Linked DNA regions of Mytilus edulis. The main gene of each other region encodes a partner of the protein of the gene in region 3 in a complex. Links are inferred from orthologs where the notes say so. Each region holds a gene or a part of one and is shown on either strand. Other genes may lie near its edges. The genes, in order: nucleoside diphosphate kinase homolog 5-like, ropporin-1-like protein, leucine-rich repeat-containing protein 23-like and dnaJ homolog subfamily B member 13-like.

The links.
Region 1: leucine-rich repeat-containing protein 23-like (region 3) and nucleoside diphosphate kinase homolog 5-like share a complex: the UniProt entries of both Homo sapiens proteins name them as parts of the axonemal radial spoke complex. The link is inferred for Mytilus edulis from reciprocal best matches to the Homo sapiens genes LRRC23 and NME5.
Region 2: leucine-rich repeat-containing protein 23-like (region 3) and ropporin-1-like protein share a complex: the UniProt entries of both Homo sapiens proteins name them as parts of the axonemal radial spoke complex. The link is inferred for Mytilus edulis from reciprocal best matches to the Homo sapiens genes LRRC23 and ROPN1L.
Region 4: leucine-rich repeat-containing protein 23-like (region 3) and dnaJ homolog subfamily B member 13-like share a complex: the UniProt entries of both Homo sapiens proteins name them as parts of the axonemal radial spoke complex. The link is inferred for Mytilus edulis from reciprocal best matches to the Homo sapiens genes LRRC23 and DNAJB13.

Annotation. Positions count from the first base shown.
Region 1 is NC_092352.1:35,868,190-35,875,975, forward strand, and holds the start of nucleoside diphosphate kinase homolog 5-like, read left to right. Parts: upstream 1-4,782; 5' UTR 4,783-4,838; coding exon 4,839-4,982; intron 4,983-6,686; coding exon 6,687-6,892; intron 6,893-7,232; coding exon 7,233-7,333; intron 7,334-7,786. Other genes in the region: fas-binding factor 1 homolog, read right to left, coding at 319-375, 865-895, 4,554-4,562. UniProt on the Homo sapiens protein: Functions as part of axonemal radial spoke complexes that play an important part in the motility of sperm and cilia. Does not seem to have nucleoside diphosphate kinase (NDPK) activity.
Region 2 is NC_092350.1:52,033,156-52,040,736, forward strand, and holds the start of ropporin-1-like protein, read right to left. Parts: upstream 3,018-7,581; 5' UTR 2,891-3,017; exon of another isoform or gene 2,839-2,890; intron 327-2,838; 5' UTR 309-326; coding exon 172-308; intron 1-171. Other genes in the region: HORMA domain-containing protein 1-like, read left to right, coding at 7,098-7,142. UniProt on the Homo sapiens protein: Functions as part of axonemal radial spoke complexes that play an important part in the motility of sperm and cilia. Important for male fertility.
Region 3 is NC_092356.1:18,674,119-18,681,974, forward strand, and holds the start of leucine-rich repeat-containing protein 23-like, read right to left. Parts: upstream 3,026-7,856; 5' UTR 2,947-3,025; coding exon 2,806-2,946; intron 930-2,805; coding exon 817-929; intron 1-816. UniProt on the Homo sapiens protein: Essential for sperm motility and male fertility. Plays an important role in the proper assembly of the third radial spoke (RS3) head and the bridge structure between RS2 and RS3 in the sperm flagella.
Region 4 is NC_092353.1:43,375,973-43,383,011, reverse strand, and holds the start of dnaJ homolog subfamily B member 13-like, read right to left. Parts: upstream 3,020-7,039; 5' UTR 2,935-3,019; coding exon 2,867-2,934; intron 1,392-2,866; coding exon 1,285-1,391; intron 615-1,284; coding exon 453-614; intron 128-452; coding exon 1-127. Other genes in the region: cilia- and flagella-associated protein 47-like, read left to right, coding at 3,284-3,433, 4,897-5,051, 5,436-5,643, 6,030-6,076, 6,531-6,759. UniProt on the Homo sapiens protein: Functions as part of axonemal radial spoke complexes that play an important part in the motility of sperm and cilia.

The DNA.
Region 1 (7,786 bases), on a different chromosome or scaffold from region 3:
GGAATATAAAAAAAATTTTAAAAATCTGTTTTGCAAAAAATGGGTGCGGGTGGGTCCGTCGAACAAGGAATCAAATTGGTGTGGCCTAAAGAATCATTCTTCCAATAAGAACATTAGCGTTAGCATTCCACTTCCAACTGGACAACATGCTAAATGAACTAACAAGAAAAACACCCCATTTTTCACTAAAATAAATTTGGAATTGATTTAAAAAAAAAGTCTAACCTACATCCTGGATATTTCGTTATACATAAATTTATATCTGATTAGGGTAACAAAACCTTATTTATCTTTAATGATAGGATTAAAAATTCCTACCTTCATGAAGCAGATCTCCAAGTAAATCATCAAGACCATCAGAACCTTTCTTTCCTTCTGAAATAACATAGATATATATATATATATATATATTATATAGATTATATGTGATAAGAAGGGCTATAAAAGTACATTTAAGTGTAGCTAAAAAATGTTTTATTTAGAATGTTAAACCTTTGTAGTCAATAAATTTTAAAAGACAAATTTAGAAATGATTTCAAAAATGAATAGAACACAAGCATCAAATCTTTTTATTACCATGGTAAAACATACATATTAGCATGTTTATCAATCCATTGCTGATTAGAAATTTAATGTTATTAATACATCATTGAATAATGGAGACAAATAAGTTCTTACCTACCATTAGACAGTTACATAGACTTTATACTCTGAATTTCAAAAAAATGTATTTGTTAGACACTTTTATAGATGTGAAGCATACCGGTACATCGACACCATTTGTGTATTGTAATGTAAATTTTGTTCTTTATATGAGTAATTTTAAATGATAAGCCAAAACAAAATAACTAAATTTATACATACTTTGCTGTTTCTTGCCACCAGGTGTCCAAGCCTAAAATAAAAACATGCATATGGTAGACTTTCACTTATAAAGATCAGATAAAAGGATTTACTATAGCTAAAAGACAACATTTATGTGTGACAGACTTTGGGTTAAATACAAAATAAATATGCAATGAGATTGAAATTACATTAACATTAACTAACAAATTTCAACAACAAATAATAGAACAAATACCCTTTTCAGCCTAAACTTCATTTCATTAATCAGTAGAAATTGTGAATCACATATGCATTGAACAAATTATTTTGCAAATTTGAAAGATTATTTCTATGTTAAAAAAGTAACATTTAATCATTTATTATCATTATCAATCCACTGTAGACTGTTAGAAATTACTTTATTGGTTGTTGGTTTTTTTGCGTGTTTAACATCACTTTCTGCACTGTTGCACTTTTTGATGACATTCAATTTATAATGTGGAGAAAGTTAGTGAGCCCAGAGAGAACCACCAATTTTCAGTAGGAAAACTGACAATCCTTGTCGATTTTAAGATTAAATCCAAGCACCCTATGCCACATGCTGGATTTAAACTTTATGACACATGGGGGATTTAACCTTAAAACAGGCAAGTACGGCAGCAGTTGTAACTATATAGACACGCCTTGTTGATTTATAAGTCGGTCAGAGCCTCCAAGTTGTTGCTACTCTTGCCTGAGTTGTTTGGTACAAGTCAATCAATCCCCAAACTGATGAGACCCAAACTTGATCTGACTAAAAGTAGATCCGTCCCACTTCAATCTGAACCCATGTCAATCCTTCCCCATAATAAGATAATGAATAATCTATGTTAACTTTATAGAATTTGGTGACATATTGGAATCAGGATAAATGGAATTTGTAAAAAGTTTTAAGTATCAATGACAGCAGGTGAGTGATGTATGCCCAATTTGAATAACTATTTAAAATAGATAAGAAAACAAGTGTAATAGATACTATTTATAATGCAAGGAAAATAAGTGTAATAGATACTGTTTATAATGCAGTATCAGCTTATTAATATGAAGTTATTTTCCATGATAACTTTGAATATCCGCAGGAATTTTATTCTATGAAATCATTATAATGCAGCATTCACACAGTATTGATTATGTCTCCTGTTTGAGATAAGACAACGATCAGACAAGAAAAGATACAAAGTAAGATTACTTTCCTTGATCAATCATTGTCAGAATGCAGTGTACTTTTGTTACTGGTTCCTGCTGATCCAGTAAGGTGACGGTCAGGAGAGATCAGGTATGATCAGGAGTGGTCGGCCAAGCACATTGACAGTTATGTGTGTCACATATGATTCCCGGAGATTCAGCCAATTTTGTCAAGAAGGATTACAATTATGACTATGCCATGACAGATAATCTGCAGTTTCGGATCAAAAAATTGAAAAATCAATGATTTGCATTGCTGCTTTTTCCGTTTGAATTTAGATTGCAACCTCATCTTGCCAAATGTGAACAATCTTTTCTGAAATATTTTTTTATTCGGGCCGGATTAACTTTAAATATGGTGACAGAATGTCGTGGACCGGCAGCCTGGGATGGATCGTCATGATCATGATGAAAGCGAGTTGCTCCATAATTGTAGCAGTGGATTAGATGTTATGGGTACACGACAACTCGTACTTTCGGCAAGTCGTACTCAACCAACTCGTACCCTATTTTTGCCAACTCGTAACCATGTTTTATTTGATATTATTTATCAAGTTTATATGCATAGTTATTGTAACTTTCTTTCGTATATCATTATATAGCAAAATACAAATAAAAAAACAACTTTCATTGTTAATAAAATTCAATCATAATTGTTTTAAATAAGCTTATAAAATGCTAATCGTTATAATCATTAGTATTCCTTATAATTGATTGTTTGAAATTGTTTGCACGACAATTTATTTGATATGCACATTAAAATAATTATGAGTACACAATATGCTAATCAGTGGTCATTAGTGGATAACATACCTACAAAAATAGAATGGATTTGTTAAAAGTAGAATAAACAGAGAGAAGTAAATGAAAACAAAAAATCGGTATAAGTGCGGCACTATGATCATCAAAGGCCGTTGAGTTATACTTAAACAATCACCATCCTCACCGAAAAGAAAATGCATGGCTTAAACGTTGTAAAAACCAAGCTTAGAGAAAAAATATATAAACTATGGTGAAATGTATGATCATCTTCAATTGCAATCATGGTTCGTCCACATTGTAATGTATGCAAGACGATATATAAATTGTGTATCTCAATAATATTTTCCCCTAATCCTGTTATTTGGTCCATGTTTGGGGCCAATAAGAGTATATATTTCAAAAAGCTGTATTTGTAGGACCCTTATTACTATTATTAATAGCAACAAAGCCTTGTAAAAATGTCTTACAATGTGTGTGTAAATAATAGTGATACTAGTGGGTTTTTTTAATACGCCTCTCGTAATTCTTCTAAATATTGGCTTAATTTTTATTTTAACTTTTATCATAATTGAGGTCAATACGTATATAAATGATAGTAGTATTGTGATGAAATATACATTTTAAAATATAGTGCAAACGTACATGCAGAAAGATTAGATCAGGTGTGAAGTTGTTTTGATAACGGTTAAATAATTAATGGCACGTTTCGTGTGTGAATAAGGGCCGATTAACTGGTAATCGACATACTTCAGGTGTGAAGCAATGATCAATCAATTAATCACCGGCACGCGAACTGCAATAAATAATTTGTGTATTAAGGTTTATGTTTAAAGGCTGTGGATTTTCTATAAAAATCTTGATTTATTTGCCACAAAGTCCTTTTTTTTTTTGAAGATCTCGTCTGATTGCTTATGAGACAACTCTTCACTAGAGACCAAAATGACACAGAAATGAACAACTATAGGTAATCGTACAGCCTTCAGCCATGAGCAAAACCCACCCATACCTCATAGTCAGCTATAATGACCAGTAAAACAATTCAAACGGAAAACGAACTGACTGCCATGCTTATTTAAAAAAAAAAAAAAAAAAAAAGTGTTAACACATCAACAAACAACGTGTTTATCGCAATATTCAGTAAAAATCTCTTCAAATATTCTAAGGATCGAGCACACCTTGACACTTGAGGATTTTTTTTCAGATACAAATCCTATCAGTAGATAAATCAGTAGGTGAATAATAAAATATGAAGCATTATAATGTTAAAAATATTTTCTACTAACACGAAAAAACTAAGACATGTTCAACGCAATGTTCAGTAAAAAATATCCTTTTCATATTCTATGGATCTACCTCAGGGTGCACTGGGATACTTCAGGGAGTTAAAATATCCATATCTACTGATATAAACGTAGAAAACTTATATTATAATGCTAAAAAAATATTGGGTACGACTTAGAAGAAGTACGAGTTGGTAGAAGTACGAGTTGCCGAAAGTACGAGTTGGCTGAGTACGAGTTGCCGAAAGTACGAGTTGACATGTATCCGATGTTATCATGTATTAAACTCTGATACCAACTATTTAGCATTAGCAACACAAAATGCATATCACAATCGGGAATACATGAGCAATAAATGAGAAATTCTTATTATACTGTTTGGACATGTCATGTGTGTGCATGCAACACTTTTTGTTCTTTTGCTTTGAAGTTGAAATTTCTGAGTTTTAATGCAAAATTTACATTAGCCATGATGTATTTCAATATTCCAATCAACAGAAATGTATCTATAGATGTGCAGCTTTAAACATTTCGTTTATATCTTTCAAACAAAATCATTTTCTTGTAGACATTATCTGCTTCCTTTAGTTTACGTTTATTGTAACATTGGGGAATACGGCTGTTGGTTATTTTAAACGAGGAACCAGTCAGTTCTTTGAAATCTCGTACGGTGCACCGTACGTGAAAATGCGAGATCATAATATATTTCTTAGCAACAGGACGCCATAATATTTTACAAGGGACAAAATGACAGGAGAGAACGAAACAGTTACAATGGATCCACCACATGTTTATGTGGAACGGACATTAGCAATTATCAAACCAGATGCAGTTAATAAAGCAGAAGAAATTGAAGATATTATTTTGAGATCTGGATTTTCGATTTTACAGGTAATTTAAGAAATAAGAAAACATGCTTTCCTATTCCTCATCAATCATCTTGTATACAGCAAAAGCACATCGAATTTTGATTACCAAGTCATTACTTAGTCTCATGTTTCTGTATATGAGGAAGGCGCCATCTTAAATGCAAGCTTACCAAGTCGTTATGTACCTACGGCCTATACATATTTTTTGCCGTAAGTAGAAAGTTTACATAGGATTAAACGCTTTTTCAAAGGAATTTATTGGTATATAAACTCTACCAGTGACTTGGTCCAGTTTATACACCAATAAATTCCTTTAAAAAGGCGTTTAATCCTTATAATTCTTTAAAATTGGAGCTAAGGAATATATTTTTCAACACTCGTAACCTCTATCACACGTAAATTGTATATTTTTTGTCATTGAATAGGCATGGCGCATGAATATATTTGTTGGTTAATGCAAAAATATGTACTCATTTAAATTTGCTATCTGATAAAAAATAAACCACAAAGACTCGAGTTATCATTCAAACAAATGTTTTTGTGTTTATTATTTATTTTAATGAGTACGTGCAGTGAAAATAAATTTTGTTCAAGTCGATGTTATTATTGCCGCCATCTTGTTTACATTGGTTACAAAAAGAAGTTCGGCCAACGTTGCCTATCGAAAAATAAACAACATCAAGATCAACTACCGGAAGTCATCTCCACCAATCATATCAACGTATTCACTAATATGCAAATCATATAATGTAAGAATTATGATGAAATATTTGGAGTCTGTATCCACCTTATTGATATTAAAAGTTCTGTCCCGCTTGTCCCTTGAATCTGCTTCTCTTGAACTTTTGACGTCATACAACAATTACTTTCCATTGTGGCGTCAGAAATTTTCTATTATGACATAAAAAAAATTACAAGAACTTTTATGGCATACAGTAATGGTAGACAAATAGCGATAAGGTGTATTTTTATCTGCTGAAAATAATTTTATTAACGATTAATGAGTCCAAATCATCATGATGTCTTGAAAGGCTATTAAACCTTTTGCTTTGACACACTAGCTATAGAGACTGTAAGGTGTCAAAGCAAAAAAATATAGCCTCTCAAGACATCATAATTATTGTGACAATTGATTCATCTTATTTACAATGCTTACATTCATTATCTTGTGCCATTTTCATATCCATTTTTGCTTCTTTTCAAATATTACAAAATTTAAAACAATAAGACGTTTGTTTAATTTCAAAACAACAATGTACAAATACATGTACAATTCATAACTTTATCAAATTGTTGATTTCCATGAAGAGGTGGAGGATTTTTTTCATCAATAATAGGACAATATTTAAATTTGTATTGAAACCAATGCTTTCTGTTTGTTAAATAATTATTTTATGTTAATGTCTAATTTAGCTGGGTGTTCATATTGTATTCCCATTTTCCTTTAAGGGTTCTTACTAAGGATTTTATTACAGGAGTCCACTGGGAAATCATAATGTTTTGCAATGGCTTGTCAAGCAGTGGGAGGAAGCAATTTTATTGATAAACAATATAATTTCAGTCCCCATGACAAAATGGAGCAAGGAAATTACACAAAATATAAATTATTTTTGAACTTATGTTTTAAAATGATGATACATTTGCTCATTTATAATTTTGTTTCAAATTATAATCCTGAACATGTTACATTGATTATATAATAATATATGTGCTAATTTAATTGCAGAAGAGAAGGGTCCATTTAACACCTGAACAAGCTAGTGATTTTTATGCTGAACATTTTGGAAAATTTGCATTTACAAGTCTGGTAGCTTACATGAGCAGTGGTCCAATGATAGCACTAGTTCTAGCGCGTGATCAGGCTATATCATATTGGAAAGAATTAATAGGACCGACAAATTCTGTAAAAGCAAAACAGACACACCCTGACTGGTATGCATATTAAAATGTTTAAAGAAAATCACAATTGTCATTCTCATATGAAGTTGACATAGTCGAGCTATCTCTCTTTTATTTGTAGTTTGGTCATGGAAACTGTTTTTTATGTGTGAAATGAAATTCAATGGTTTAAAAATAGCAACAAAAGAATATTCTACAAATGTAGTACATATATTGAAGTCATGAAGTGATACATGTTTAACAAATCATATTATGTTAATAAATACTATATCAAATATTGAAAGTTATGTAAGAAATCTGATCTGTTAAAAGGCTTTTAGTCCAATATAAAACCAAATGCTAATACTTGATTTACACCACCTTTGAATTTTAGTTTGAGAGCTATATATGGAGCAGATGATCAGAAAAATGCATTACATGGCAGTGACACTTTTTCAGCGGCAGAGAGGGAAATAAGATTCTTTTTTGCAGACAGTAAGTTGCATGAATACTGTATATCACTTTTTTTAGACACAAGATTATCAACTTCTCTATTTAAGTACAAAATGTAGTCAACATATAGACTAGGGGAAATTATATTTCTGGCCTCAGTTTGATAGTTATAATCATTTACCTACCTTCAATATATGTACAAATGTGCTATATTTACTTAATTTAGAGGGCAACATGACATCTAAAAACCATTTGCTTTGTCCTGAAATAATCAGTTCCCTGAATGTTATTCAAGTCATTTCCAATTAAGTTAATGTTTCAGGTTAAAAAACATGTACATGTTGTACAGGACTGAGGAATGATGATGTCTTTCATAAGATGTAATTAAAATAACATGCAAACTATCTTTCCCATTTTACCATATACACAAAGCCTTTGACAAACTAAGATATATTTTAAATAAGAATACCTTATACATGTATACCTTTATTGTGA
Region 2 (7,581 bases), on a different chromosome or scaffold from region 3:
CTTTTTTAAATAGGTTTCTTTAGTTAGACAAATTGTACTACCCCCTCTCCCACAACCCAAAATTAAAATTTCAGTTTCCCTAAATTAAAAAGAAGATATTTTTTATTTTAAATTCCTAATGAAATCATCTCAATATTTATAGTTTAATTAGACAACTAAAAGTGTACTTACGCAGCAGACCATGCTAAAACATCTTTTGGCTGTGTTCTGATTGCAGCTTTTGTAAACTGTTTGAGTATGTCTGGTAGCTGAGGAGGAATGTTAATCTGCTGAGAGCAGTAGTATGGCTCATCTGGATTGGTAGGCATTTTGGAATTAGGATTCTCCTAAAAATTAAAAGGATTTTTTAAAAATAAAATTGAGAATGGAAATGGGGAATGTGTCAAAGAGACAACAACCCGACCAAATAAAAAACAACAGCAGAGGGTCACCAACAGGTCTTCAATGTAGGGAGAAATTCCCGCACCGGAGGCGTCCTTCAGCTGGCCCCATAACAAATATATACTAGTCCAGTGATAATGAACGCCATACTAATTTCCAAATTGTACACAAGAAACTAAAATTAAAATAATACAAGACTAACAAAGGCCAGAGGCTCCTGACTTGGGACAGGCGCAAAAATGCGGCGGGGTTAAACATGTTTGTGAGATCTCAACCCTCCCCTATACCTCTAACCAATGTAGTAAAGTAAACGCATAACAATACGCACATTAAAATTCAGTTCAAGAGAAATCCGAGTCTGATGTCAGAAGATGTAACCAAAGAAAATAAACAAAATGACAATAATACATAAATAACAACAGACTACTTGCAGTTAACTGACATGCCAGCTCCAGACTTCAATTAAACTGACTGAAAGATTATGATTTCATCATATGAACATCAGGCACAATCCTTCCCGTTGGGGGTTTAGTATCATACCATCATAACATATATGAGAAGAACATAACCCGTGTCATGCCAACAACTGTTTTTAAAAGTTTGTTTTTCTAATTTAAAAGGACTTCATAACCAGCAGGATATAAGGAGATACAATGCAACAGCAACCCAATAGGCAATAATAAAAATAACCAATATACATCTAAGAGGAAACAGTACACCTTATTGCTATTTGCATTACTGGACATCACAGCAGTTCCCGTAAAATTTTGATGTCATATGATAATAGAAAATATCTGACGCCACAATGGAAAAGTCAGGGTTCTCGCTAAGGATTTTTGAAGGCGAGTCCAGGGACTCATCATTTTTAGGTATGATGAGTCCAACAGCAAGAAGAAAATATTTTATTGCAATATAAAGTAATATTTGAGTCTCCATTTCCTAACAGAGCAATGAAATGAAATCAAATTCAGATCACTTTTAAACTTTTGCTATAAAATGATGATATTTGTGTTTAACTGTGTTCAGTTTATACAAAATATTTCAATCTTGATGCATCTGTGGACTCACCAGTTTTGAAAATGTGATTGTAAGTCAAGCTGCACAGATTTTCAAATAGAGATAAAATGTAAAAACAATGTCCTAAGCATTATATCAAAATTAAAATTATCAATATACTTTATTGCTATTTGTCCGCAACAACTGAACATGACAAAAGTTCCAGTAAAAATTAAGTTGCTAACCAAAATTTCAAGAAAAAATTCCATTGTTGCCTTTTATGAAATTTGCGCATTGCAATAAATAAATGTATACGTCCTACTTGCGGTAAATTATCCCAAATAGGAGAAGTATTATAAGACATTACATGTATAACATTTGGGGAAAAAAATCCCCAACCTGTGATTTTCTTTAACTTTTATTTTCAAAAGGAGGTCGAGTTACGAGAGATTTCTCGACCTCAAGACTCAAATATGCAAATATCTATACTTTTTCACCTCCTTTATAGGAGATCGATGTTTAACATTTAGTAGCCAACCACTATTTTTCACCTCCTTTACAGGAGATTGGTATGAAGCATTTAGTGCAACCACGTTAACAATCTGAAGCTCTCAGACATTTAGATTACTTGCATCGTAAATGTACAAGGAGTTAGATTATTGTCATTTGTATAAATCATCACTTTTTTCTCATGGTCACATGAAAATCTAAGGCTGTTAGTTGGCACCAGAAGCGACGAAGCAGCGCATATATTTTGGATGGGCAAATATCCACTTTTTGATATGGGACGAGCTCTGACGTTACACGGCCCCAGCTTGTCTGGCAAAACAGCCGTTGGACGTCAGATTTATCTCGGAATAGTCATCAACTAGCAAAGACATGTGTTGATGAATTTTCATACAATGCAGATGTATAAGTACTGAAAGGTTAATATGGTAATATTCTACATTTACATTTACATGTAAAGTGTCAGTGCCAGTGGCGTTAGACTCAACTTAGAGCACTTTTAGATATTTTTTATGTCCCAAAATGGTGTTTTGCATGGAAAATTTATACACCATATCGCTAATCACGGCTGACCCGGCCGCTTGAACTTTTGGAGCATACAACAATCACTTTTCCATTGTGGCGTCAGATATTTAGTTTTTGTCAAAAATTTACGGGAACCTGTGTGATATCCAGTAATGGCAGACAAATAGCGATAAGGTGTATTGATCAGTTACCATATCATGTAAACTAAATGTGTTGTTTCTTTAATCAATCTTATGAGATTTACGTACGCAAATCGTCAAAACTATAAATAATAAAATAAATTCTCTGAAAAAGTGAAATGCTTGAAGTAAGTGAAGACTGCAGATAACAATGGTCGTATTTTGTCTCGGAACTAAATGAAAGCTTTTCGTTATGGCAACAATCAAATTCAATGTTTTTTGTACAATAAGTAAGTATAGGGCTTTTTACCTTTTGAGATCTTGAGACCTGAAGAACTTGAAATAAACACACACTAACTTACCGGATGTATTCAAATGTTGTGATAGCAACGATTGCTCGAAAGATTTCTTCCGGTTGAAGGATCGGTGTCTCCAATGCGCTTAAGATATTGACAATTTGCCTTGCTTCTTCAATCATTTAAAAGCACGCGAACCCGCGAATTTTTGTCGTCTGCTACACGGTCGATTGAAAAAGGAGGGTGGATGCTGGTCGTCTGCGCTATTTATTGAGTTCAGAAATTATCTTTAGGTGCAAGTAACTTCTTTCTAAAGAACAGACAACGACATACAAAGGTATAGTTTTGATGAGGCCAAGGTTGTGTCTTTGAGTGTGACTGTTTCAGCCATCACTCATGTCATGAATCCGTGTTTGATGGAAAATATTAGAATAAGAAAAACTTCATTTTGATTTAACCAAGTTCAAATCCTTGATTTAAAATACAAACATAAGCTCTGGGGACACTCATACTATATGAAAACTATATAAAAAAAAAAAACACACACAAAACAGTGCATCAGAAGATAAGAAAACTTATTTTAATTTGGCATAGAATTCAGGAAGGCATCACCAGAAAATTAAATAAGTCTTTCAAGACATCTTCAGTCTTCGTCATGATGTCTGATTACATAAGTAAAATATACTACGAATCTCCTGTAGTTGGTGATCGCAATACTGGTATACCAGTATTGTCCACAATACTGGTATATAAATTTTGTACCAGTATTGTAACTTTAAAAAAAAACCAGCAATACTGGTACATTACTGATATACCAGTATTGTAGTTGTATTGTTGACTATACTTTAAGGTGTATAATGAAAACTGAATTTTAAGCTTCTTCTTCTGTGGTTTTTTTTAAGCAAGATCAAAGGGAGATTAAATGAACTCAAAAAGATTATAGAGGATAATTGTGAAATCAATTATCAACCATGGCCAGTTAAAATAATAACTAAATAAACAAAATATTACTGTAATTAACTCATATTTTTCAAACAATTGTTAATTATATAAATAATTGCTAATAATTTTATCACATTTCTATATTTTATTTAATTCAATTTAGATAAAATAAAATAAAAGCTTATTATTATCTGAGTTAATGTTAAATAAATTCAAACAAACTATTACACTATAACCATGATAACACTGTAAATTCAGATTTACATAAAATTGAGAAAGGAAATGTATGCCATTTTAATAGGAGATAACTGTATTGTATTTTAAGCTCCGACGGCATCAATTGGGGATTTGATGGTCGCAAATTAAGTTTACTGGTGACACGTTAGCGGAGACAGTAAAAGGGTATTTGCGACCATCAAATCCCAAATTGATGCCGTCGGAGCTTAAAATACAATATTGTTATCTCCATTCTAATGAAACTGACAGAAAATAACGTTAAAACATGTATTTAAAATCTGTCATATGCCGTCTGCGCTTGTGCGTACGTCCCATAGCATCAATTGTCAATTGATGCCATGTAAGAAAGTGACGTTATCCAATCAAAATGAACATTACAAACGTTATTGCATTAGAATTTATATTTTTTACAGATATTTTAATACATGACATTGTATATGATCATATGCATTTGTTGGTCTTTATTTTCACAATAAACAAGATAAAAGATATCAATATCCATTAAACATAAAAATTTGCTTAATAGGGGAACCTGATTATAATCAAAATAACAAGTTTGTCTACTTGAATGTTAAGGGTAGTTTAAAAAGCAATGGTTTAGTACCATTTGGGCAATACAACATTTTGTACAATTTGTAGCAGATATATCTACTGGTACAAATACTCAAAAACTAGTGCTACAATAAGAGTACAATACTGGAATACAATACTGGTACAAAATTTGTATACATGTACCAGTATTGTGCACAATACTAGTATACCAGTATTGCGATCACGAACTACAGGAGATCCCTACTCCTACAATACACCTTTAGGCCATGGAAAATTAATTGTTGGTTTCCCCTTTTAAACATGGGAAAATTTTAAAGACCCGGTAGGCAGGCTTTTGCATATTTTCAACACTTTAAGTTGTCTCTGCAAAAAAATAAATGACCCGGTCGGGTTAGGGGAAACCATCAATCATTTTTCCATGGCCTTATAACTCTCTGGAAATCTCTGCTTATTGACTAGAGAATCTGCATGCAACTCTTGAACTTTTGACATCAGTTTCCCGTAAAACACTGAACAATCGCTTTTCCATATTGGCATCATGTGATTTTTACTGTGAAGTCAAAAATATATATATGCGAACCTTTGTGATGTCCAATTTTGTTGAACAAATAGCAATAAGCATCAGAAAGAGTACATATGATGCAGTCAGCTGGTAAATCATAAAATCCACCCACCTAAGCTAGGCCTCATTTGTTGAAAGCAAATGGTTAAATAATATAGCGGATGAAATATTTAATTTTTTGAAGAGACACTGAAATTTTTTTGAGCCATTGTTCTTATCCTTCTGATCTGTAGCATGCACACATAAAACACAACAAAATAAAGCGAGCAACAATCAAAATTTTAGATATCTAGCAATCTTTATATATAGAAATGAAAAGATGTTCATATCAATCAAGCACAAACTTGAAACTGGCCAAGGGCAAAGTCTATCTCATCACAATATTTTTCATTTCAAAGTTAAGAGTTAGAATATTTTTCTTTTTACAAAAAAAAAAACCAGTATAACCTTTTAGATACTTTATCAATCTTTTTTTGGGTCAAGAAAATACCTTAATACATAGACACATCTTTGAAAGCCAAGGCTGACAATCTGCTTCCTCTCCTTTTGCCTTTGTCAGATTATTTATAATTATATTAAGAAGAAGTTCTGATCCATGACAATCATAACAATCAATTTATTTTGGTTACAATCACATATATATGACTGTATCCAATTAAAAAACGCCTTTATGTTGATCATATGTGAATAGTGACATATTATATAAACAACTGCCACTTACAAATTGTGCCATGTACAAGTCTTTACCCCTGAAACACTAGCTAGACACTATCATGACTATGTAATGACAATATTAATTCTAATTTCTAATCTCAACTCATTGAAAATGTTGGAAAGTTAGCATATGGGACAATATCCCTAATGCGCCTTGAAATGAGGAACTCAAAAGTCACGTGTAAACAAAAAATCTCTGTGTAGTGATATTTGACACATTTCTAATGATAAACAAATGTCTGAGCTGAACCATTTGTGTTAATTTAGAAAGTAAGGGAACACAGAATAAATGTGTAAAAACTATGGAGCCATTAAATGTGTTCAAAGTATTAAATTGTTAAAGAACTTATTGTGTCAAAAATGGGATTTTTTACCATGAGGAGCCACATCGCAAAAGGATACTCGGGGTTTGCTAATTTACGGAAAAATGAATCACACTTCGTACCCCGAAAATTTAACCACATATGTAAAAATGTCTCAGCTTCGAAACACTTAGCCATCATACATATACAAGTTTATGATATGGGCTGAGCAACAGAAGAAAACGTTACCATTACCGCCTATGTAGAAACAATTGCGCATATTGCCCCATATACATTTCTGGTTATTGCTTAATAATTACATTAAATGTATGTTTCACTATAATACGTTATTCTGATTGGCTAACTGTACATCACATGTTATTTCTTAAGCAGTTGTATCACACAATAAAACTTTTCATTCATGATGACACGAGGTCCCACAATAAAGTGCACAGGTAAATGAAATAAAAACTTGATGAAAGGCGTGTTTTCACGATCCTATAGGTAAAAATGTAATTATAAGTATTGAATGCTTTTTTTTGTAACTTTATAGGGTTGTAAAAGCGTTAACCGTGGGCACATTTTTAGTATGAAGCGCTTCCGCGCTTCATACAAAATGAACTTCGGTCAACGCTTTTACACCCCAATAAATTTACAAAAAAGAGCATTCAATTCTTAAATGAAATTTTGTAACACTGATACAACATTTTTTTCAAATCCAAACTGAAGATTATTTGGTCAAGAATAATGTAGTCTTGATTAAGCATGACTTCTATTGGTTGCACGATAGCTAGTGCAAAGCTGTATACACAAATTGTATCTTAACCAGCCACAGGTGAAGATTAGAGGACCAGCTTGAAACCATTGGCTAGAGAAGATGCACAAGACACCCTTGAAACAGAAATAATCCCTCACAAAAACTAAAAAACAATGCTTATAGATACTCTTCTTATTTTATTTTTAGATGTCTACAGCACAGATGCAGAGAACACAGGAGAAGACCAGTACAGTAAGAATTTAAGCTCTATAGACGAGGGTTTTCATGTACACCATTAAAGCAAGAGTAACTTCCCTTTTGTTGCCGTATTGATGTACTGATCACCATGATCACTAGATTAGAAAAAAAATTGTTTTCTGAACGTTTCATTTTTAAGCCTTGCTATATTCATCACTTACACCAACATCTAGATTAGGATTTTTAATCAGACTTGTTTGTTCTGCATGTTTCAATTTGGTTAATCAAACAAGCATTTACCAATCCATCATACAGACAAAGGGAAAGAACTCAAGCGCAAATGATATCATATCCACCCTTAGATCTATACAAGTGCAGTAGATATAAGATGTGGTTTGAGTGACAATGAGACCACGCTTAGTCACAATTTGTAAAAGTAAACCATTATAGGTCAACATACGGCCTTCAACACAGAGCCTTGGCCCACACCGAA
Region 3 (7,856 bases):
TCTAATTAGAATTGGATTTTTAACCTACATGTATACATAGGAATGACATTATGTGATAATTTTTATAAATTTCCTGATACAAAACTTTGAATTTTTCGAAAAACTAAAGATTTTCTTGTCCCAGGGATAGATTACCTTATTTGGCACAACTTTTTGGAATTTTGGATCCCCTATGCTCTTCAACTTTGTATTGTTTGGCTTTATAACTATTTTGATATGAGCGTCACTGATGAGTCTTATGTAGACGAAACGCGCGTCTGGCGTACTAAATTATAATCCTGGTACTTATGATAATTATATTAAAACTTCATACAGTAACATCTAGGAATACTGTTGATTCTATATTTTTGTAGGTAAAATTGAGAATAAAAATGAGGAATATGTCAAAGAGACAACAAACCAACCAAAGAGCAGACAAGCCAAGGCCACAAATGGGTCTTTAACTAAGAGAGAAAATCCTGCGGTAGATATGATCCTCAGCTGACTCCTAAATAAAATTGTGTACTAGTTGAGTACATATAAATGAACTAAATTTAAAAAATCCTTCAAGACTAACCAATTTTTGTTGATTTTCTATTTCATTGTTTTGCAAAAGTCTGCATTAAAGCAATGTAGTAAATGACCAACATAAATGTATCTGAAAAATGTTCAAATGTTACAACTCATCCCTGACATGCTTCCGAAAAAGTATGATGTTCTGTTGCATAGGTTTTTTTTTGAGAAAAGTGAAAGGACAGACAAGGCATAAATTTACAACATAGCCAACAATTCTAGTGTGACAGGGGTATGAAAAGTTATATAAATTAATTTATTTACCTATCATGAACATCTAGTCGAACATAAGCATGAGCCAGTCCATCTCCAGTTTTACAAAGCAATGATAAACATTCTGCTATATGTTCCTCTGTTAATGCTAAATCTGGTACTTTCTGTAATTAAACGATACAATTAATATCAAATCATTCAAATGATTAAAAAATATGAAGTGTATTAACCCTTTCAACGCTACACAAAAAAATAGAAAAATGGCTGCTGCTGCTGCATTTTTTTTGTGTTCATTTATTAGAACAGTATATTCTTTTTCAGACTGCTGTATCTTTTTTATTATAAGAGATACAGAGAAAGTTATTGCATGAAAAATGTTCAGGAGAGTATGAACTGTAATGTAAGGCAGTTATTTCAGTAAAATTTTTATCAGGTTACCTGCATTTTCAGGTAATTAACAGGTAAAAGGTGTAATTTATTACATTTGTGTTGAATTTGGAATAAAAACTACTTTTAGTCTTCATCTATTTTGTTGTTTTATCTGCCATATAATAAAGAAGACACCAATTGCACGATTCCGTAGCGTATTGCACCATACACAACGTATTATGTAATCGTGGCACAAATCAGTGGCTCCGTTCTCAAAATTTCAGTCAACCTCCGTTTTCCCCCCTTTTTTCTACGTCTCGTAATGATCGATCAAATCATATTTCCCACACGAATTGAATGTAATAAACACATTGAGATAACAAGAAACCTTTTAACTAATCCTCGTCGTCAGTTTCGCCATAGAAATGCTGAAATATTTCCATATTTACAGCTTCGTTTCCGATTTCCGCCATTTGCATTTGTCAAAATATTTGTTTTTATTTTCCTTCAATTTTCCTTCTACTGCATGATTTTACAATAAAAATTGCCGGGATTTCAAGCGCAAATGAGACCTTGCATATCCTCAATTCATACAAGGAAAAATTAGAGAGGACCCGAATGAAAATCGAATGGTTTAAGAGTCCTAATGAAAAATCCGTTGTCATCGCGGCATATGCCGCGAATAGCAGTGGCGGACGGCGTATGTCATCGCGGCATATGCCGTGTATAGCGTTGAAAGGGTTAATGCTCTTTCTCGAAGTAGTTTACTTTAAAAAGAATATAATTTTACAGTATTTCAGACTTCATTACTGATATTGTGTACGCCATTGAAGTAACTAAAATATTTTCGTTATAATTTTTTAGCATCTGGTGGATAGATAGTATTTGATTTCAGAAATCATGATAGAACATAGAAATCATAGAAATGTCCTTTACTATCAAACACCAAACTGTCATTTTCGGCTACCTCTACCATCAAATTGGTTAAAAAATATCATGATTCGTCAAAATATCCTTATTGTGATTAATCAGAGATGTCTGATTATTATCTATTTCCTCAAAATATGTAAATTTTTTATCGTCATAAAGAAAATATATGGTTAGATCATATGTTTTCATACTACATGTACTATGCATGTTTTTCCAAAGGAAATTGTGACATCACAGTGCATTTGTAGCAGGGCTGCCAAGTCTCACACATTTAGCGTGAGACTCACGCATGTTCATGCTTTTTTTGGCAGCATTTTCCTTTAATCTATTATTTTTTCTCTTTGATCTTTTCCATTTTGGCCAAATCTCACGCATTTGCTTCATGAAATGTTGGCAGAACTGTTGTAGTACCAAAACACATGAGACAAGATACATGCACTAAAAACTGCAGTAAACATCATTTGTATACCCCATTATAACCAGGGATATCATTTCATAAAAATAAAAATAAAATATGAAAAAAATCAAAAATTACAAAATGTAAACATTGTCATTGAAATTGAAAATAAAGATGATGTTGTCAGGCCATGCACATTGTTTCCTACAATGTACAACAAATATGTTTATTGTTATCAAATAAATCTAAAACATCGGTCTTTAACATGCACCTATACTACGATATATATGATTATGATATAGTATTTTATCCCCTCCCCCTTTTTTCATTATCCACATAAACACCTCCTCTTCTTCTACTTCTTCTTCTTCCCCAAGTTTTTCTTCCTCTTCACCAAGAACTTCCTCATCTCCCTCTTCTCCTCCTGCTTCCTCTGCATTATCCTCCTCCTCTCCAAAAGTTTCCTCAGCTTCGTTATCTGACATTTTGCCGCACAAACCAAAAACACGTTGTAAATGTTTTGATTACAAAAAATGGCCGATTGTTGTCAAGGTGACGGTACAGTAAAAATGTTTAAACTTGAAAAATCCCGTTCAGTCGATTTAAATTTAGGAAGAGAGATTACAAATCAAGTCATTGTTCACTTCAAGTCAAAGTTACACGGAGTAAATTAGGCTGATTTTGAGAATTTCAGAAAACTGGACTTCACGAAAAATCTCGCGAACTGTGACAAATAGCGAGATTACTTTTTCAACTTTTACACATGATTTGGGACAGAGGTAACTAGCAAATTTTGTTCCCCAAAAAGTTGTTTCTGGCTTAAAATAACCTTGCTTTATGTGGTATGTAGCTAAGTTTTTAATTTATATAGATATTTTAAAATGTCACAGTCTATATTTTTGTTTTTCAAGTGTTTCTTGAAATTTAAAGTTGAAACATTTTTTTGTACTTTTCAACCCAAAACGGTTTTATCAAAAAATTTAATGTCAAGGTTTGACCAAGCCGGTTTATTATTTTTGATTAAGTGCCAAATTTTTAAATCATATCAAATTAAGCACACCTTGTCATTTTGTGATAAACAGCAAAAAGAAAAACTTGACATTTTTGAGAAATTAAATTGCAGACGAATTTTCGTGATCACTTTTCTCGTGCAAAAGTAAAGGTGATAGATTTAAACCAATTTATATACAATTGATATTACCTTATTACATGTTTAATTACTCATGAAAACTTGTTAATTATTTATCATTATACATAAACACCTCTGTTTGCCCCTTCATATGGTTTTGCATGATTTCTGGGACTAGTATAAAAGTTCCAGATGATTTCTTGATCACTTTTGAATGACATGATAACAGAGATATTATATAATTTCTTGACAACTTCAGTGTGTAATTCAACTAATCTTCTTAACATTAGACTTAATATTTACTTATTTGTTTAAATTGGAAATAAGTTACCATTTTCAGTACCTCCCAATTAAGGTTGTAGGCAGAATGTTTGGTTCAATATTTGTCTAAAATCAAACTATGTTTTAGAATTTTTGAACTAATTTGCTATTATATTTAGAAATTTTCTCTGTGCAGTAAAAATGCATCTCTCCCTCTTCTCCCTCCCATAGACAACCCCCCCCCCCCCCAGGTCAAGAAGATAAACAATAATTTCAAAAGGCTGTCCCAGGTAGACAAAGTAAAAATAATATGGGAAAGTTTGTATCATCTCAATCAGGTCAGACTAACCTCACATCATTAGCCAGCGGCCAGTATCAGATGACCCCTCTTTTTTCTGGAATAAAAGAAAAAGCACTAGTTATCTAGGCTGAGATTCAGATTGAAGTTGGACATTTAAAGTCATTACCCCAAAAATTATCCCTCCCTTTAGTCTTTAGTCTTCACATTTACATACACTTGAGTAGCAACTCTGAAAGAAGATGAAAAGTCCAACATGTGAAGTTTTTAATTTCTAATCAAAGAAATTGATAGCTGCATATTATTTATAATGCAACATACGTACCAAAATGTGGAGGTCATTTGCAAAATTTGGCAGTAAAAACATATGACCCTTTTCAAGAACTCCTGATAGATTTTGAGTAATAAAGGGGGAGGGAAAGCCTTCTATGTTGTATAAACTTAGTGAAATAAATTTTATGCACAAACATTATGTAGAAAGATTGATAAATTAAAAGCTGCATTTATATATTAAAATAAGAAGATGGGGTTTGATTGCCAAAAAGACAACTCTTAACTCCTAACATATTTTATTTTTTCTTAAAATTAGTAATAAAATTGTGGTAAAATCTATCTATAATTGTAAAAAATAATCTTTTGAGAAACATACATATATGTATCTTTACAGATAGGATTTATATAAAACTCCCAATGTTTTGTGTAATATTAGCTATTATAAGTTGTTCCTCAATTATAAAGTTGATTCTCCAAAAAAGTATGAAAATTTATACCCATGGCAATGAATATGAATTGCTTTGTTTGCATCAGTATTTATAATTTTATTATGAGCTACACACAAAAATATACAAATATGGACTTATTATCTCAGTTTTCAAGCTATAATGTGTTCTTAAAAGTGGTAGATAAAAATATATAATCATCTTTTGCCTTAAGAATTAATCACATTTATACAAGCTTACAACATATAATTTCAATCAGAGGCTCTTTCATGGGATCCAAGAGGGTCCCCTCTCCCCTAACCCCTTTATGATAGCTCCTTGATCAACCATAGATATTTCTCTATCCACCCCATCAACTCAACACATTTAAAGAAAAAAATACCCCTCCCTCCTCTACTGTAAGAATTCTGTATAGATATATACTTAAAAGTATATAGACCATAAGATGAGGCTATATAATCTTGATCTCAGATATCAACTTTTTGCAGAGATGCAGAGACTCTTATAAATTATGTATTAACCTTGGTTTTGCATGATTTTGCTTTGAAAATCAGCTGATGAATTGAAACCAAAATAATTGATATAATTCAACAGTAAAATCCTGCAAGAATTAAAACTGTAAATTCTGTTTGGAAAACTGTTATTCATAATATTGTTTTAAATGACAAATCTCATAATTTGTAATAGATAATACAATAGATGTAATTAAAAGAATTAATATTTAATCACCAAGCTGTGATAAACTTGAATTATCTGAAAACATGACATGATTAAATATTCAGATACCTTCATAAAAAGGTAAATTGTCAATCATGTTAAATATTACACTCAATTAAAGATTAATTCAAAATTTTATTGATTTACAAGAAAAGTCCTGTATAGAAATTTTTGTTGCCATGGATATGTGTAATCACCACTTTAACTGAACAGGTTTAGCATGTTTAGTCATGAAAATTGTCCCAGGTACAGAATACAATATAAATATACCCTGAATATATATATATATGTAGTAACTTTGTTATTTCTTTTTATGTGAAATACAGGTAAATATTATTAGTGTTGACTGTTTAAATAACTATGGTAACAAGATAGCTTTTGTTTTGGGACATGAAATTTTAAAGATTAAAGCCATATCGGAAAATTGGCTAAATCCCAACTGTAAAATAAAACTTAATTTCTTTGGAATATAATAACCACTTTTTAAATTTTTAAGAAGTTTACTGTAACGAAAGAATTTTCAAAATGGAATTTAAAAATAATAAAAGAGTAGATTTATAATCATTTTTAGTAATAGAAAATTGTCAAGGATGAAAATATGGGACTTTTTCATAAGAATAACAAAAATTCAATGGATTTTAAACTTTATATGAATATTATTAATGTTTAACTAACATGATTTAAAAGTGTAAGTTGTTTGTCAAATGATCTTCAGTTGCTAGTAGTAACTTGAACAATATATTTAGGCGTAATAACTTTTCAAAACTTTTAAGGGAAGGATAATAGAAAATTTTAGCATGTGCAAATAAAAGTTCTTGTATGTATTTATCTATAATATATACAGTCATTGCCTTTGAAATAATGTTGTTGAGATTGCAAAAATGTGCAAATTATCATCTCTGACTTGAATTGAATAAACCTTTTAACTATTCCAGCATACTTAAGCAATTTTTAGCAGAAGATTCAACTCAGTTTGGCTGTTCTTTTTGCTCCTAATTAAAGAGCAATCAACATGCTTACTCAAATTTGTCAGAATATAAATTCATCAGCATGGATGTTTGGCTTGTTTCTTTTATATTTGGAACATTATTACATGTGTTATAAGAATAATAGCTTAAAGTTTTCAAAACCACCTTGAAAAAGCCTGGTCCCTTCTAAATTTGTGGTAAAATCTCTTTCCTTGTGCCTTGTGGTAAAATTCTTTTGTCTAAATGCTTTGAGATAAAAGCTCTGTAGCTCTGCTTAAAGATGAAACTCATGTCTCTTTGATTATAACTTTAAAAGCCCCTTTCCATCCCTTTACTTGTGCTAAGTTATGGATAATAGCTCTGTTCCCTTGCTTTGTTATTAAAGCTGTCCCTTATGCTTTTTGCCAAATATTATTTGCAAAGCATAATTTCCAGTAAAGCAATTTTTTGGGGGTTTCATAAATAAGATAAAATATTTGCTTTAAGTACATGTAATTGTTTATAATTATTGAAAATGTGCAGCATATATATTAAAGGAAACATTTGTGCACACAGTATGCATCTTAAATAAATAATAGGTACAACATAAATTTTTTCTTCATACTGTGCTGAGTTTCTATTATCAATTTGGAAAGAAAGTGTTTTGCAGAGTTATTTCCCCTTATTCAAAAAGTTTTTCACAAAAATTTGACTATGAATATGAGTAGCTTTATTTGAAGTTAGTTAATTGGATTTCCTAAGGAAGTTGTACAAGTTTAAAACACTAAAACAAGATTTCCTGCCCTTAAACTTTCCTTTCAAATTCCATAAATTTCAGTATTTAATGTGGTATTTATATAATTATACTTAAAAAAAAAAGAAAATTGAAAATCGTTAGGATTGCCTTTCATGAACTTTGTAACTTTCTGTGCTTGTAACCTAAATGATTAAGAGACATAAGACAATTAATCATTTGTTGCATAATCTGAACAAATGTGCATAAAAAATGTACTGAAGTATTTCTATTAAAATTTCTTTTAAAAAAGTGCATCTTGGTTGAATTTGTGAAATTTTAACTATAAATTAACCATGATGAAATGATTTCACAGTCTCAATAAGTATTTAAATTTAAACCTTAGAAAACATATATATGGATGTCCGTCACACATAATCATCCGCATCTAAAACTGTGAATCAGTTATTTATCGTTAAATATCATTCGGCATTGTTTCTTTAATTCGTATTACATTGTCATTGATTTATCATTTATGTCTGAGGATGGATGAAAATCTTAGTTTATGTATTAATCCCATCTCAGTACTTT
Region 4 (7,039 bases), on a different chromosome or scaffold from region 3:
CCATGAAATACTTCTTCCAATGACAAGAAAAGTTCTCTTTCTATTGGTGAATCTTGTTTCTTATGTCCTCTGCCTTGTAAACCACCAAATCCCATGCTTAAATCTCCATCAACTCTGTCATAAAATTCTGCAAAAAGTAATAAAAAAAATCGGTATTTAATATTAATATTATTAACCAGGTTAATGGTCTGTTATGACATGTTATGGTCTATCAGGATGGTTAATGATACATTGGCAATTTTCAATAAGTAAGTTTGTTTAATTTTCTGTTTTGGACACAAATCAAATGGACCTGATCGAGAGGCCTTTGAAGAAGGAAAGATTTTGGTAATTTCTCTGATATCGTATTATCCTTCTTTGTATGCCTTTATTTTATATCTGTGTATGCCTTTATTTTATATCTTTGTATGCCTTTATTTTATATCTTTGTATGCCTTTATTTTATATCCTACCTTGAAATGGATTATCACCACCAAAGAATTCTCTGAAAACTTTTTCTGAATTTCCATGGAATGTGTAACCTTGGGTCCAAGCACCTGCCTCCCCACTACCATGAGGAACACCATTCTTTAGGCCTTCTTCTCCAAACTGATCATACACTGCCCGCTTTCTTGCTGAAAAAATAGGATTTTGAAAGATTAATGTATTAAACTACATGTATTAAAAAACTTCATGCATCATATAACACAGAAAAACTCTGCTTAAGATCATCTTTTAGTCAACTTATAATATATACACTTGTTCATCTTTAAGGGTGTTGATGACTGAAACTATAATTGAAATTCACCTCTCCATAATGTCTTCTGGACAAAGAACTCACTTCCTCTCAAAGATCATACATTACGATAAAATGGTTTATGTTTCAACTCTAAAAATATTTAAGGAAAACTAAAAAAATGTAAAATATCTGTCAGAAGATAACTTATCTAACACGGAGGTAACATCAACCACCCTACAGAAAAAATTCCCCTATTTCACTATTACCAATCAGCAAAACATTAACCTAAAATTTGTTTAAACTTGTTATCGGATGGATTCTGTCAAAGGTTGATTGAAAAAAAAAGAAACATTTACAATTCAACTCTTTATATCAGTATGAAAAAAATATCACGAAAAACAACATGAAATTGGTTCCACAGCTTATATATATATACTTCTGAAAATTTCAATAAAACTCTCACTTTATAGCAGTTTTGTTAAGTTGACGCTTTGTGGTGATTTATTGTCGAGGCCTTATCAAATGCAAATACATGTACATAAGTTTTTCTTTACTTTACTACTTACGATCACTTAAAATGTCATAAGCCTCAGCACATTGTTTGAATTTGTCTTGAGCATTTTGATCACCATCATTTCTGTCAGGATGAAATTTCAAAGCTAATTTTCTGTAGCTGTAAAAAATAAAAATATAAGTAAAGTTAAATATATAAAGGATACAATTTTTGTACAAAAATAAATTTGAAGCAAAAAAAGACACTTTAAATCTGAGCAGGTGCACACAACACGAGTAATTTTATAAGATACAACCAAAATTATATACAGTAAGTATAGTATAATTAAGAAATAATTCATGGGGGATGGAATATTTCGTGATATTACCACGGGTTGGCCCTTAATGACAAATATTTTACCCTGAGCGATAAGACAAATACGGCTATTGTTTTGGATCGAAGCGCTCTAGGTGGAGACAAATATTTGCCTTTCCCATAAATAAACACACTATTAAATTGGCGTAAAAGAACGAAGCAAACTCAATTAGTGACATGCTTAAAGTTTTTACAATAACGTATCTAGATAGCTTTGGGTGAATTTAAATTATAATTTACTTATCATAATGATGTTTTAAAAAAATCGGCTTATACCACATTTAGCATTGTTTGTTTACGTTTCCTTGTTGTGATGATTTTTGTTTTGGAAAGCATGTATTTTTCCGTAAAATGCACATATTCATACGTCATCTTTCTATGACGTTTGGTATCTCATTCATAAAAAAACATATGACATGGGAGTACAATCGGAACAGCCCTGGCAATAAATTCATATTTAACCACAGGTGTGTACTCAAAGCATTTGAAGGACGTCATGTTAGAATAGGAAATAATAAAGAAAAATAAATATAGAAAGGTGGGTCTAAGCATGACGCGGGATTGCTGATTTTTTGTAAGCGTGAAACGGGAAAGTCAAATTATTGTGCCGTGAAAACGGGAATTAAGGTCTAGTGGGACACGGGCAATTACAAAAAAATGAGAATTGCTTAGGTACATAGTATAAGCGGGATACGGGAATCTGACAAAACAGTAAGCGGGATCCGGGATCAGAACCCCCCAATGAGACCCCCAGAAAAGGGGTACTCATTTGTACTTTTTTCATCTGGCCTGAACCAGTTCAGGAATACGTTTTTCAGATGAATCTGTCATGTGACTTCCATCCCTCAGTTGTATGGGAATCAAGATTATGAACTTATAGAACATAAATTAATTCTATATCACCCTACAATACAGAATGACGAAAATGCTCGAAAACTTTTGTAAGACCAGGGATACGGGCAGGCCTTATATCTTTTTCAGTGAAAGGCATGATACCAGAATAGATGACTGATTCCAATGGGCCATGGACATGGAAGGTACCATATCCAGGCAAATAATCATTGCATGCCGGCACAGCTGATGTCTATAATAAGACTTACTTGGCAAATGGAAGACTGAACAGACTAAAAATGGATGTTCAGTGGATAGTTGTAGATACCTATTCTCTAATTAAAAAAAAACAAACATAAACTGATTGAAAGTGAAATAACAAATCAGTGAGTTCTTATGAATTTGGAACATTATGTTTGATCCTGTAATTTAAAACATCAATTCCTTACTGTTTCTTAATGTCTGCATCTGTTGCACTTCTTGTTAATTGCAAAATATTGTAGTAATCGACTCCCATCGTTTATTTTTGTTTTGAAACGACTGTAAGATCGGGTCGTTTACTAAAGATGGCGTGGTTGCTATGCGATGTATAGCTAGTTTATTTGACGGTATTTTCGTACTGAATTAATGTCAGATTTTGTTTTAATTGATTATTCGATACATCAGATAAAATATAATAGCTTCATAAAGAAACATAATTGTTTTAATTTTAATAGAACAAAACAAATTTAAAGATTTTACTCAATTACGAAAATGCGGTTTTATTTTGTTTGCTTGAAAAATCCCCGAGCAACCTTCCCAAACAATATGGCGGTAATAGTTTGAAGTTTTTAAAAAGATAATCGACATTTTTGAACGAAAGCATCATGGAAGGTGACACGTTCGGTGTCCGAATTTCACCACCGCAATTGGAATTCTTTGACACAGATGTCAACACAGTTCATGAGCTGAACATCACTGTGAAAAACATAAGCAAATCAAGTAAAAGCATACGATTTTATGGACCAAAATCTAAAGTGAGTAGGATTTAAGTCGTCTGTTTACATAAGTATATTCAACAGCTAATTTATAAACTATAATATATAAACCCTGAACCAAGTCTTCGTCATTGGTTATTGCCAAGCCAGTTTTAGCAAGTCAGAGCTTCTAAGTTCTAGAAAAATTTATCCTGAATTCCCCAAAAAAATGAAGCATCATCTTTCCCTGATTTTGAAAATTGATTCTTACTTTTAGAAACTCAATAGGTATTATCCTTAAATTTCAGCTGAAATTAAGATCCAATTTTGACACCATGAAGACTACTTATGATAAAGCCACTTCATGGTTTTGACATATATATTGCATTCTAAGAACATGTCGAATACACCTTATCACTAATCCCGGCTGACCCAGCCGCTTGATCTTTTGACGCATACAACAATCACTTTTGCATTGTGGCTTCAGATATTTTGTTTTATGACGTCAAATTTTTACGGGAACCTGTGTGATATCCAGTAATGACGGACAAATAGCGATTGTGTATGAGGGGCATATTTTTTTCGAAATAGATGTTACATGTACATGATGTAACTGTAAAAGAAAGTATGAGAAAGAGGAAATCCTATGCTAGTTTTCAATCAACTGTTCTGTTTCCTTGATGTTTCCCCATATTTTTTTTCATAGTATTGCATCTCCATAATGGCCATTATGAAAATATCCCCCCTATTCAACATAAAATTGAGAATGGAAATGGGGAATGTGCCAAAGAGACAACCCGACAATAGAGCAGACAACAGCAGAAGGTCACCAACAGGTCTTTAATGCACCGAGAAATTCCCGCACCCGGAGGCATCCTTCAGCTGACCCCTAAACAAATATATACTAGTTCAACTGTGAAAGGGTATATTTTTCCATGTTCCAGACATTTCCTATAGATGTCAAAATCATAATTCTCTTATTTTTTTTGGGGGGGGGGGGGGGATTTTTTTTGCACAATGTCAACAGTTCATATAATCGTAAGTCAGGTGTTTCAGAATGCAAATAGGGGTAAGGTCTATTTACAATCCTCCAAAACTCAAATGCAGAAAAAAAACATGTATTTAAAATTATTCAAGATATAAAACTGCATAAAGCAAGAGGGGCACATGTGACTTAACACCAGTTGTGTCAGTAATATTTTAAGCTTAGTGAATTTTATAGGTACAATATAATATTTTATTGTACTGTTTGTTGAAAGTGCAGACATGACTGACTTTATTTATTCATATTATGTTATGATAAGTAAAAACATACATTTTATGAAAACATCAATTTGATGTTTTCATAACTTCATTTAAATCATTATTACATTGTTTGATCCTTAAATTGATAAATTCGTGAAGCATCTATTATAATGTTACTTATAATACTTTTTTTGCTACTCTCTAATATTAAACTATTAAATAGAAGGTTAAAAATTAATTGAATTGTTCTTTTTATCAAGAAATATTTACTTTTTTAGTTCTTCAATCTAAAAGTAAAAAACCCTACAAAGCCAGTGGCATCAGGCTTATGTGTCCCAGCTATTATTGAATTTGAAACCAGTGAAGCAAAAGAGATTCGTGATAGACTGGTTGTAACTATTGATGGAGATGTGGCTGAAATACCATTAATAGCGTAAGTTCTTAGTTTCATATTTTAATGTTAGGATTTATTTTACATTGTACACAAATAATAATTTAAATTTGTACTAAAAAGGATATTCAGTCTATCATAATACAGAGACACAATTTCCAAAGATATAATGGTTATTTTTTTGGGGGGGGAGGGGGATTATTAGCATTAATTTACTCTTTACAATAACTGGGGAATCTTCAAACAAAGACCGAAGAACTTGCATCAAGTTCAGAGACTACATGTATTAACACACTTAACAGTAATAATCACATTTTTTCCTATCAAATCAGATTATCAATTGATTTTAAAGGAATTATCCACAGTAATTTAAGTTTAAAATTGTTAATTGCCCTGACCTATATTGGATTATTTATTTAATAATAGATATCCTATGCAGCCTATGCTAGAAATTGAAGAAGTTGTTGACTTTGGAAGTCTTGTAGCTAGCAGTAAAACAATATCAAAAGAAATAGCATTAACAAATCATGGATCTAAGGCTGGAGAATTTAAACTGAAGTATTCTGGAGACAAACCTTTAGCCATTGTTCCCACCAGTGGCAATGTACCTCCTAAAAGTGTACAGTTGATAAAGGTAAATATGTGAATCAAGAATAAAAATACATGTACTACAAACCATGCAATATGGAGCATACCTGTCAAATACAACGATTTGTTTCAATTTTGCTGGTTTAAGTATCTTTCAAGAGTAAAAAAATTTCCAGATGATGTACTTTGTGACTTTCTAAAAATTACCATAATTACCTAGGGCAGCAAAATTCCAAATAGAAGTAACATACATTAATGTATTGTTCAAATGTTGTGTAATGGCTACTTTAATAAAAATATATCTTAAATTCTTAGCTACAATATATTTTTGATAAATAGAAAAAATACCATACATTAATGCTTTGATATGATTTGAATATTGTTTTGTGTGTCAGCAATATTTTCGAATCCTTTCTTATTCTTGCTTTGCAGATTGAATATGTAACAAAAGAACCTGGAAACTTAGAAGAGCATGTGAGGTAAGTATCTTTTAAGTCATAAATGGAATTATTTCTGTATGGGAAAAGGGATGTTTGTATAATATTATTAGGTTGCTGCCTCATTTCAATACAAATGCTCCATATCTAAAATATTCTAATTGAGAAAAAAAAAATATCACAAAAAAAAAACCCACACCAAAACAAAAAAGATAAAACAGACAAGTGGTGTACATATGTACAATGTAACAGTAAGTGTTATAATATTGAAATGTTTTTGATTTACGACAGAATATGACAAAAATTGACATGCCAATGATTGATCTGATAGACCCTCTAATTTTCTTATAAATATCTATGAGTATAATCTGTTACAGCATGGTTTTAGATCTCAATTATTAAACTCTTTTTTATGTCTATTAGTGATTTGCAATTATAAATGCTTTTTTTTCTAAATAAACTGACATTTTTTTTATATTTTAATACATTTTTCCAGAGTTAAACTAGAAGGAAGAGAACCTAAACAATTGACAATAAAGGGAAGATTAGTTGACAGAGCTCTAGAAGTTTTATCTGTAGATACTGGGGCACCAGTAGATTGTGTACAGTTTGGTAGTACCTATTATGGATGTGACAGAACACAGTGTGCATTACTTTACAATAACAGTCCAGAATCTGTTAACTTTGTAGCTGTACTAGATGAAGATGCTGTGGCTCAGGAAATGGTTAGCATAGTCAGATAGAAGAAAATAATAATCATTCCAAATTATCTCAAGATTCGGTTGAATGTTACGGGAACAAAAGTACCATTCATTTTATAAAAAAAATAAATGTATTAATAATTAATGGAATTAAAAGATATTTGGTTTCAATCTTTTATAGGAAATATATATTATTTGGTTGGAATATTTTCTTCATTTTATTTAACAACCATAATTGAACCTTACCATACAAAGTTTTGTGGATGCTTTTGCCTCATCATTTTCTGGCAGACTGCTGCAGGTG